Saccharomyces cerevisiae S288C: one gene and its partner. The protein of the gene in region 2 interacts with the protein of the main gene of each other region in a pairwise test. Each region holds a gene or a part of one and is shown on either strand. Other genes may lie near its edges.

Region 1 (3,708 bases), on a different chromosome or scaffold from region 2:
ACAGATACGAGAATCTGTGCTGCCTTCTTTGCGATAATGCCTTGGCTTGCCTATTTCACGGTTACAGGAATAATAACATGTTCATACCGTTTCAGGACCAATAAATGGTCTTCTGCGAGAGAAAAAGGACACTCTCCGTCCGACAGAAATAAGCTTTACTTTCCGGGTGCGAATCAGCCCGTTGCGCCTGGGGTGGTCCCTACAGTACGCTGAGTCGCCGATAAAGACCCTCCGCCTAGAGCTAGGCGAGGCTGACTTAGGCAGGCCCAACAGGCAAGGCCCATCTTCAAAAGTGCACCCATTTGCAGGTGCTCTTATTCTCGCCAATTGCGACAGAAAATGAAGGATGCACTCAAACAGTCGATCCTTCGAGGGAGTATGCCAAGGCCTCGTGCATGTAGTGCGATTATATATATATATATATATATATATATATGTATGTAAGCAGGCCATGCCCTATAGCTCTTGTTCTATAAGCGATGGATAGGCATAGGAAACGAAGAGGACCCCAGTGTAAGGAAGAGTAGCAAAAAATTAGAACTAGATGACTAACGCTTTGCTCTCTATAGCCGTTTTGCTTTTCTCGATGCTCTCGCTAGCACAAGCGGAGACGCACACGTTTAATTGGACCACTGGCTGGGACTACAGGAACGTTGATGGGCTAAAGAGCCGTCCCGTGATCACCTGTAATGGCCAGTTCCCATGGCCAGATATAACGGTCAACAAAGGTGACCGTGTGCAGATTTACTTGACCAACGGAATGAACAACACCAATACTTCTATGCATTTCCACGGTCTCTTCCAAAACGGAACCGCCTCTATGGACGGTGTGCCCTTCTTGACGCAATGTCCAATTGCGCCAGGCAGTACTATGCTTTACAATTTCACGGTGGACTACAATGTAGGCACCTACTGGTACCATTCACACACGGACGGTCAATATGAAGACGGGATGAAAGGTCTTTTCATCATCAAGGATGATAGCTTCCCCTACGATTACGATGAGGAACTTTCTTTATCGCTTAGTGAGTGGTACCACGACTTGGTCACGGACTTGACGAAGTCGTTCATGAGTGTTTATAATCCGACAGGTGCTGAGCCCATCCCACAGAACTTGATTGTTAACAACACGATGAATCTGACATGGGAAGTCCAGCCCGATACGACGTATCTTTTGAGAATTGTCAACGTGGGTGGGTTCGTTTCGCAGTACTTTTGGATCGAGGACCACGAAATGACCGTGGTCGAAATCGACGGTATCACTACCGAGAAGAACGTAACGGATATGCTTTACATCACTGTCGCTCAGAGATATACAGTCCTGGTTCACACTAAAAACGACACGGACAAAAATTTCGCCATCATGCAGAAATTTGATGACACCATGTTGGATGTCATTCCAAGTGATTTACAGCTGAATGCAACCTCTTATATGGTCTACAACAAAACCGCTGCGCTGCCCACACAAAATTACGTGGATTCAATTGATAACTTCTTGGACGATTTCTACTTGCAACCGTACGAGAAAGAAGCCATCTATGGCGAGCCAGATCATGTGATTACCGTTGACGTTGTTATGGATAACTTGAAAAACGGTGTGAATTACGCCTTCTTCAATAATATCACCTATACTGCACCAAAAGTTCCTACTTTGATGACCGTTTTGTCTTCAGGTGATCAAGCAAACAACTCCGAAATCTACGGTTCAAACACGCACACTTTCATCCTAGAGAAGGATGAAATCGTGGAGATTGTGCTAAATAACCAGGACACAGGTACCCATCCTTTCCATTTACATGGTCACGCTTTCCAAACCATCCAGAGAGATCGTACATATGATGATGCCCTAGGTGAAGTTCCTCACAGTTTCGATCCGGACAACCACCCTGCCTTCCCAGAATACCCAATGAGAAGAGATACTTTATACGTTAGACCACAATCCAATTTCGTCATCAGGTTTAAAGCCGATAACCCAGGTGTTTGGTTCTTCCATTGTCATATCGAATGGCATTTGTTGCAAGGTTTGGGTCTTGTTCTCGTGGAGGATCCTTTTGGTATCCAAGATGCTCATTCTCAACAACTCAGTGAAAACCACTTAGAAGTTTGCCAGAGTTGCTCTGTGGCCACTGAAGGTAACGCCGCTGCCAATACACTGGATTTAACTGATTTAACTGGTGAAAATGTTCAGCATGCCTTCATTCCTACCGGTTTTACCAAAAAAGGTATTATTGCCATGACATTCTCCTGCTTTGCCGGTATTCTTGGTATTATCACAATTGCAATTTATGGTATGATGGATATGGAAGATGCGACCGAAAAGGTTATTCGAGACTTGCACGTGGACCCTGAAGTCTTGCTAAATGAGGTTGATGAAAATGAAGAGCGTCAGGTAAACGAAGATCGTCATTCCACTGAAAAGCATCAATTTTTAACTAAAGCCAAACGGTTCTTCTAATAAAGGAAGATCATGTATTTTGCGGTTAACCTGTTTTTTTTTTTTCGGTCAAGGGTTCCAAATGCATTTGCATGTAAAGTGAATGCCCTTGTCTTACTTAATATTACATAGACATATACTTAATAATCTACCACGTTTCAAATTCAATAATGCATGCTTCTTGGCGGTTTTTGACATGAGATCCTCATCTGTCACGAGGCTGATGTGCATACTTTTACTTTTAATCGATGACATGATCAGTTTCTTTTGAACAAAAAGCCGTTATGGGTTGAAAAAAAGTGAAAATGAAAAAGTCATCAGAAATATATGAAAGATATAATAAATTGTCGAAGAGAAATTACGTCGAGGAGGTTGAGGAAAATAAGAATGGCAACGACAGATATCATATCTCTAGTAAAAAATAATTTACTCTATTTCCAAATGTGGACGGAAGTGGAAATTTTACAAGACGATTTATCATGGAAGGGAAATAGCCTGAGATTACTGAGAGGTCGTCCGCCTCACAAGCTGAGCAACGATGTAGACACAGAGCATGAAAATAGCTTGTCATCGCCACGCCCGCTAGAGTTCATATTACCCATCAATATGTCACAGTACAAAGAGAATTTTCTCACTTTGGAATGCTTGAGCCAGACATTTACTCACTTATGTAGTCCATCTACTGAAAGAATACTGCTGGCCATAATTAACGATGATGGTACAATTGTTTATTACTTCGTTTATAAAGGAGTACGAAAACCGAAAAGAAATTGAAAAATGAACTTAAAGACACCTTTCTGCATTATTTTGTTTATTTTTATTATATGTATTTACAGGCTAAATTATATAATGACATCACAACGTTTCCTTGCTCTCTAAATTGAGGATCTCTTTGCTCCAAGTTATTACTTGGTCTATGGACGAAGTCATCAATTTTGTTCGACATACTATTCAATAATTCACTTCCAAAGGTTTGTTCCAGTTTTGAACGGATGCGGTTACCATCAGGTAGGCCTAACTGAACGTAAAGATTTGCAAGGAAAAGAAGGTCGGAGGAAAGTATTACAGAATCATCCAGTTTTTTACGGGCAGCCAACCAATTGCTGACGCAACTCTGTAGTCTATTATCAAATTGAAGATTATATTTCACCTGTTGTAGCTCTTGCTTACCCTTAATTTTGTTCTTATGCGCAATTTTGAAGGTCTTTGATTGTGCTAGTTGCGAGGCTGACTCCATTGCTTTACTTTCTACAAATTCTTCATCATCCTCAAGG
Region 2 (5,395 bases):
AGCAACGGTATATCTAATTCTGCTTTGATCATTGTATGTATCCTCACGCGCTCTAATCCTAAAGTCATATTCGTTCATTTGGATACTTTGAGTAATTTTTGTGAATTCGTTGGGGTCTTCTTCCTTCAAAGACATTAATGTATTAGCATCAACACCCAATAATTGTTTAGCTTGGTCGTCAAATAAAGTGAGCCATAGTTGATTGGTTTCGTCAATAATTGATATTGTCAAGATGTATCTCCAATTTGGCCTTGCATTATTGGTGTCGCACTTCTCACATCTCCAAGTACCATCAGGCTGTTCCAGAACTTTCTTATTACAATTCTCATTAGAACAGGCAGGATATGCAAAATTATCAACTTTTAAGAAACTTATAGCAGCTTTAACACTAAAAAAGTCACCTTTCTCGCTTCTTCCTAGATTTTCAGCTTGAGCTCTAGCAATAGTAATACGCTGAGCAATGAATTTTGTTAAGCTAGCAGCCGATTGACCACCCATACCGGGTTCTTGCTTTAAAGTGATGAAGTTTGCGTTGCGGCCCTTGGAATCATACCAACCCTTTAAGGCATATGCCTCAGGAATTTCTGGATTCGGAATCAGGGTACTAGAAAATCCCATAGACAAAGATTTGCCACCAAAATCCGTCACACGAACACCTTTAATGGCAGCAACAGAACCTTCAGGAAGGTTGAAATCAAGGGCTTGCTGATTCCATAGGCCAACAGAGATAGAAAACCCAGAGTCGTCAACAATTGTGATGTCACGACGATCGAATTTCTTCCCAGCCCTTGAAGTTAGCTCAAAATGTGGGTTTATAGTTTGGATAATACCGAGGACGTCTACGTTGGAATTTACTTCCTGGTTCTGAATAGCATCTAGTTTGATGAAATTGAAATGGGTTTTCGGAACATTACTTTCATCGAAACATTCTTCTATAACAGTGTCTCTATCCAAATTCAGTTCATAAGGGTGTGTTAGATTAGTAAATTGGGGCTTAGCTGGTTGGAGTTTTGCCTTTGATACATAGTATACTTTGCCTTCTTGTAAAATTTCGTTAAATTTTGTAGCAAAATCATTAAACGCCGTGGCTCGGATTTCTCCAGAGGTATCCAAGAAGTTGACATTGAATAGTTTACCATCACCTCTTTGATTGTGCCACGTTTTAATTTCTCCCTTGTAGGAAACTCTTGCTTTGATAGTCCAAACGTTTTGGTATGGAGACAGTTGTTCGATGGCAAAAATTGGTCTGGTTTTTTGCGAATTAGGGTTTTCATTGGCGAATTTTCTCTCATTTGCATTCAAGTTTGAGTTTGAATGCAGCATATCAGGGACACCAGCATTGCTGGCGTTTGTTTGATTGGCAACATTACCACTGTCAGTTATATCTTCGTCTTTTAAGGTTTCATTTGGATGCTCTGAGAAATAGTTATCCAAAAAAGTACTAGTTTGGTTGACCATATCAGCACGCGACTGGACCAACTCAAAGTCATCTACTAAAAGAACGTATTTCTTTCTTTCCCTGACAATAGCAGGTTCTGCAATTATCACGCGAATGATATCACCCCTTTGTAGTTCCATTGACTGGAACTTGGATGCAGCTTGGTTTCTCAACAGAGCCTTCATATGGTAAATACCATCGGAAATCATGATCAAATTCTTTCTGTTGCTGTTAGCCCCATCAGATTTCCTGGTGTTATAAACTTGATAAACGCCACCGGTGGGATTATCGTACCTTTGCTTATTGGTGAAGATGCTATGAAAATCGCCCCTCGAAAGTTGAACACTGCTCATCTCTTGTAAGTATAATCTGGTCTTCTTGCTGGTTTCGCCTTTACCGTAATAAGAAGAGTGAATAGTTTTTGTTTTACGTGTAGAACTTAAAGTGATAACATTTGTTCAAGTAAACCTTTATGTTAGTTCACGCGTCTTTTGTCGCCTCGTCTAATTTTTACGCGTGACATTTTTCCAAGCAGAGATATTTTATTGAGCAGCGAAGAAGAGTTAGAGAATAAGAAAGTGATGCGATAAGAAATCCACCCAATTAGCATAGATCCTTTCGTATATGGCTGAAGAAGGTGGTACGCGCATAGCTATTAACATATATGCAAAAAGAACGGCAAAAGGCGAGGAGGTTTTTATGCCACCGCTAGTATTTGACATAGATCACATCAAACTTCTAAGGAAATGGGGTATTTGTGGTGTGTTATCTGGAACTTTGCCTACTGCAGCACAGCAAAATGTATTTTTGTCGGTACCTTTGAGGCTTATGTTAGAAGATGTGCTGTGGCTGCATTTGAACAATCTTGCCGATGTGAAATTAATAAGACAAGAGGGAGATGAGATTATGGAGGGAATAACATTAGAGCGGGGCGCCAAACTATCTAAAATTGTCAACGATCGTTTGAACAAGTCATTTGAATATCAGAGAAAGTTCAAAAAGGATGAACACATTGCAAAATTAAAGAAAATCGGTAGAATCAATGATAAAACCACAGCTGAAGAATTGCAACGGCTTGATAAATCTAGCAATAATGACCAGCTAATTGAATCTTCTTTGTTCATTGACATTGCTAATACCTCTATGATTTTAAGAGACATACGGAGTGATTCAGACAGCTTATCCCGCGATGATATCAGTGATTTGTTATTTAAGCAGTACAGACAGGCAGGAAAAATGCAGACCTATTTCTTATACAAGGCATTGAGAGATCAAGGGTACGTTTTGTCCCCAGGTGGACGTTTTGGTGGGAAGTTTATAGCATACCCTGGTGATCCTCTTCGTTTCCATTCACATCTGACGATACAAGATGCGATTGATTATCATAATGAGCCGATTGACCTAATATCCATGATAAGTGGTGCAAGACTAGGAACGACTGTGAAAAAACTTTGGGTCATAGGCGGTGTTGCGGAAGAGACAAAGGAAACTCATTTCTTCTCAATAGAATGGGCTGGATTTGGTTAAGCTGGGAATCAGTCATGTATAATTATTTTCTCAGAATTTATGTATTTATAAGGTTTTTCAGAAGCATACATATGTGTAATACAATTTTTAAATTTGCATTGATATTTTGATGCATTCAGCGGGAAAGTAGTTGTTTATCACTAGACATATAATTATGTTTATTTATATTTAGTGGGAGCAAAACAGTTTATTGAATGTTTACCAGAACCGAAAAAAAAGCTCTTCTAAACTGTTGACATCCAGTTCATTTACTTCCACGTGTAGATGTGAAGGAACAAATATTTTAGCATCGTTCATACAAGTAATTATGCTATATTATCGATCCTCGGATTTCAGCTTCCGTTATATCGGATGATTGTTACTCGACCTTTATGTCGTCTTTTTACATCATATATGATAATATGCTAGCAGTTTTAATACAAATTGATCGAAGATAGTTGGTTCTGAGAAATGGGTGAATGTTGAGATAATTGTTGGGATTCCATTGTTGATAAAGGCTATAATATTAGGTATACAGAATATACTAGAAGTTCTCCTCGAGGATATAGGAATCCTCAAAATGGAATCTATATTTCTACATACTAATATTACGATTATTCCTCATTCCGTTTTATATGTTTATATTCATTGATCCTATTACATTATCAATCCTTGCGTTTCAGCTTCCACTAATTTAGATGACTATTTCTCATCATTTGCGTCATCTTCTAACACCGTATATGATAATATACTAGTAATGTAAATACTAGTTAGTAGATGATAGTTGATTTCTATTCCAACATACCACCCATAATGTAATAGATCTAATGAATCCATTTGTTAGTTAATAGTTTAAATGTTTTTATCGGAAGAGGTTTTGTCATCACATCAGCAATGTTCTTCTTGGTCTCGATGTAGTATACGTATAAATTATTACCTGATACTTCATCTCTAAGTCTCATTGCCTTTGTGCCAAAAAATCTGTTTCTAAATTTCTCTTCATTTGTAGACTTAATTATACTGATCGTTGATCTACTATCAGTAAGTAAGCCTTTAATAATTGGTTTCTTGTTAAGTTCTTGTATCAGGTAACTTAGATTATTTAATAATGGGACAGATTCACTTATCGCGTGTATTTCTGCTTCCGTAGTTGAAGTACATGTTAATGAAGCCTTGGTGGACTTTCCTCCAATTACCTTTCCATTAAGTAAATATATGTTGCCAATTTGTGATTTATAATACGGTTGGTTGCCATACGAAGCATCACTTATTGCGACTAGTTTATTATCTGGCTCGGTAGGTTTGTTTTTGTGCCATATCAGTTGTTTATCTCTAGTGTCCCACATGAATTGTATCAACTCATATGTCATGTCTAAAACTTGCCTAGAGGGGAATAGTATATGTTGAGCAAGTGTGTTGATGTAGTATAGTAAGTCAAATCTAAATTTATATCCAACATATGAAGCTAGACCAATCAACTTTTGCATTTCATGTACCTTCTCTTTGTATTCATCTTCATCTATTTCTAGTTCATCCTGGTCTATATAAAGACCTGGTTGACCTGGAGCTCTAAGTTTCTTTCCTTTTGGGTTCAAAGGTACGTTTAGTTTGGGTAATTTTTCTGTCAAGGATTTTTCCATACCTAATTTCATGTATTTACCTCTTTGATATTTGATTTCTAAGCCAAGTATGTCGTACTGAATTTCGTTATCACTTTCACCCAGATTTATTATCTTTGTATCGTATTGTTTCTTGAGTGTTGTTATGATTTTCTTATTTGCATTTAAGTCTTTGCTGAACAATATCATATCATCAACGAATAAGCAAATTGTTACTTGACTATTCTTAAATACGCATGACCATCCACGAACTTCTTCCATACCACACTGTTTTATCAGGTATGATTTGATAGTTTCGTACCAGTTCGCTCCACTTTGTTTCAATCCATAAAGTGATTTCTTCAAACGTATCAACTTATCATTCATTCCTAAATGTGGTGGAGGTCTTATGTATAATTCTTCTTTGATGTCTGCATACAAATATGCCGAAGATATGTCTAATTGTGTAATATAGTAGTTATTGTCTAATGCAAGTGACAGGGATGTCATCAACGCATAATGATGTACAGTGTTGGATTGCATACCTGTATCGTACGTATCAGGATGCTGAATGTCACCTCTTGCAACAAATCTAGCTTTATGAGTTCCGTCACGTTTCTTGTTGAAGATAAACATTGAGTTTATTACTCTTTTAGGGTCTATTTCTTTTCTGTCATAATATTTGTCAGTGTCCCAAGTATTCATTTTCAATAGTTGGTTGACTTCTTTGTGGTATGCCTCGATATATTTTTCTTTTTCTTTAATATCTTTATTATAGGTGATTGCCTCATCGTATCGTAAGGTTGTCCGTATTGGTTTGATTGATTTTACTGCTTTTACAGCTGCAATCAGG

What was found. The genes of interacting proteins can lie anywhere in the genome.
Region 1: the proteins of SEN34 (region 2) and SEN15 interact in binary tests that used the Saccharomyces cerevisiae proteins (3 or more experiments, as listed by UniProt).

Annotation. Positions count from the first base shown.
Region 1 is NC_001145.3:388,278-391,985, forward strand, and holds SEN15 (Sen15p), read left to right. Parts: upstream 1-2,821; coding exon 2,822-3,208; downstream 3,209-3,708. Other genes in the region: ferroxidase FET3, read left to right, coding at 545-2,455; SAM complex subunit SAM37, read right to left, coding at 3,255-3,708.
Region 2 is NC_001133.9:156,829-162,223, forward strand, and holds SEN34 (tRNA splicing endonuclease subunit SEN34), read left to right. Parts: upstream 1-2,137; coding exon 2,138-2,965; downstream 2,966-5,395. Other genes in the region: replication factor A subunit protein RFA1, read right to left, coding at 1-1,791; YAR009C (truncated gag-pol fusion protein), read right to left, coding at 3,769-5,395. UniProt on the Saccharomyces cerevisiae protein: Constitutes one of the two catalytic subunit of the tRNA-splicing endonuclease complex, a complex responsible for identification and cleavage of the splice sites in pre-tRNA. It cleaves pre-tRNA at the 5'- and 3'-splice sites to release the intron.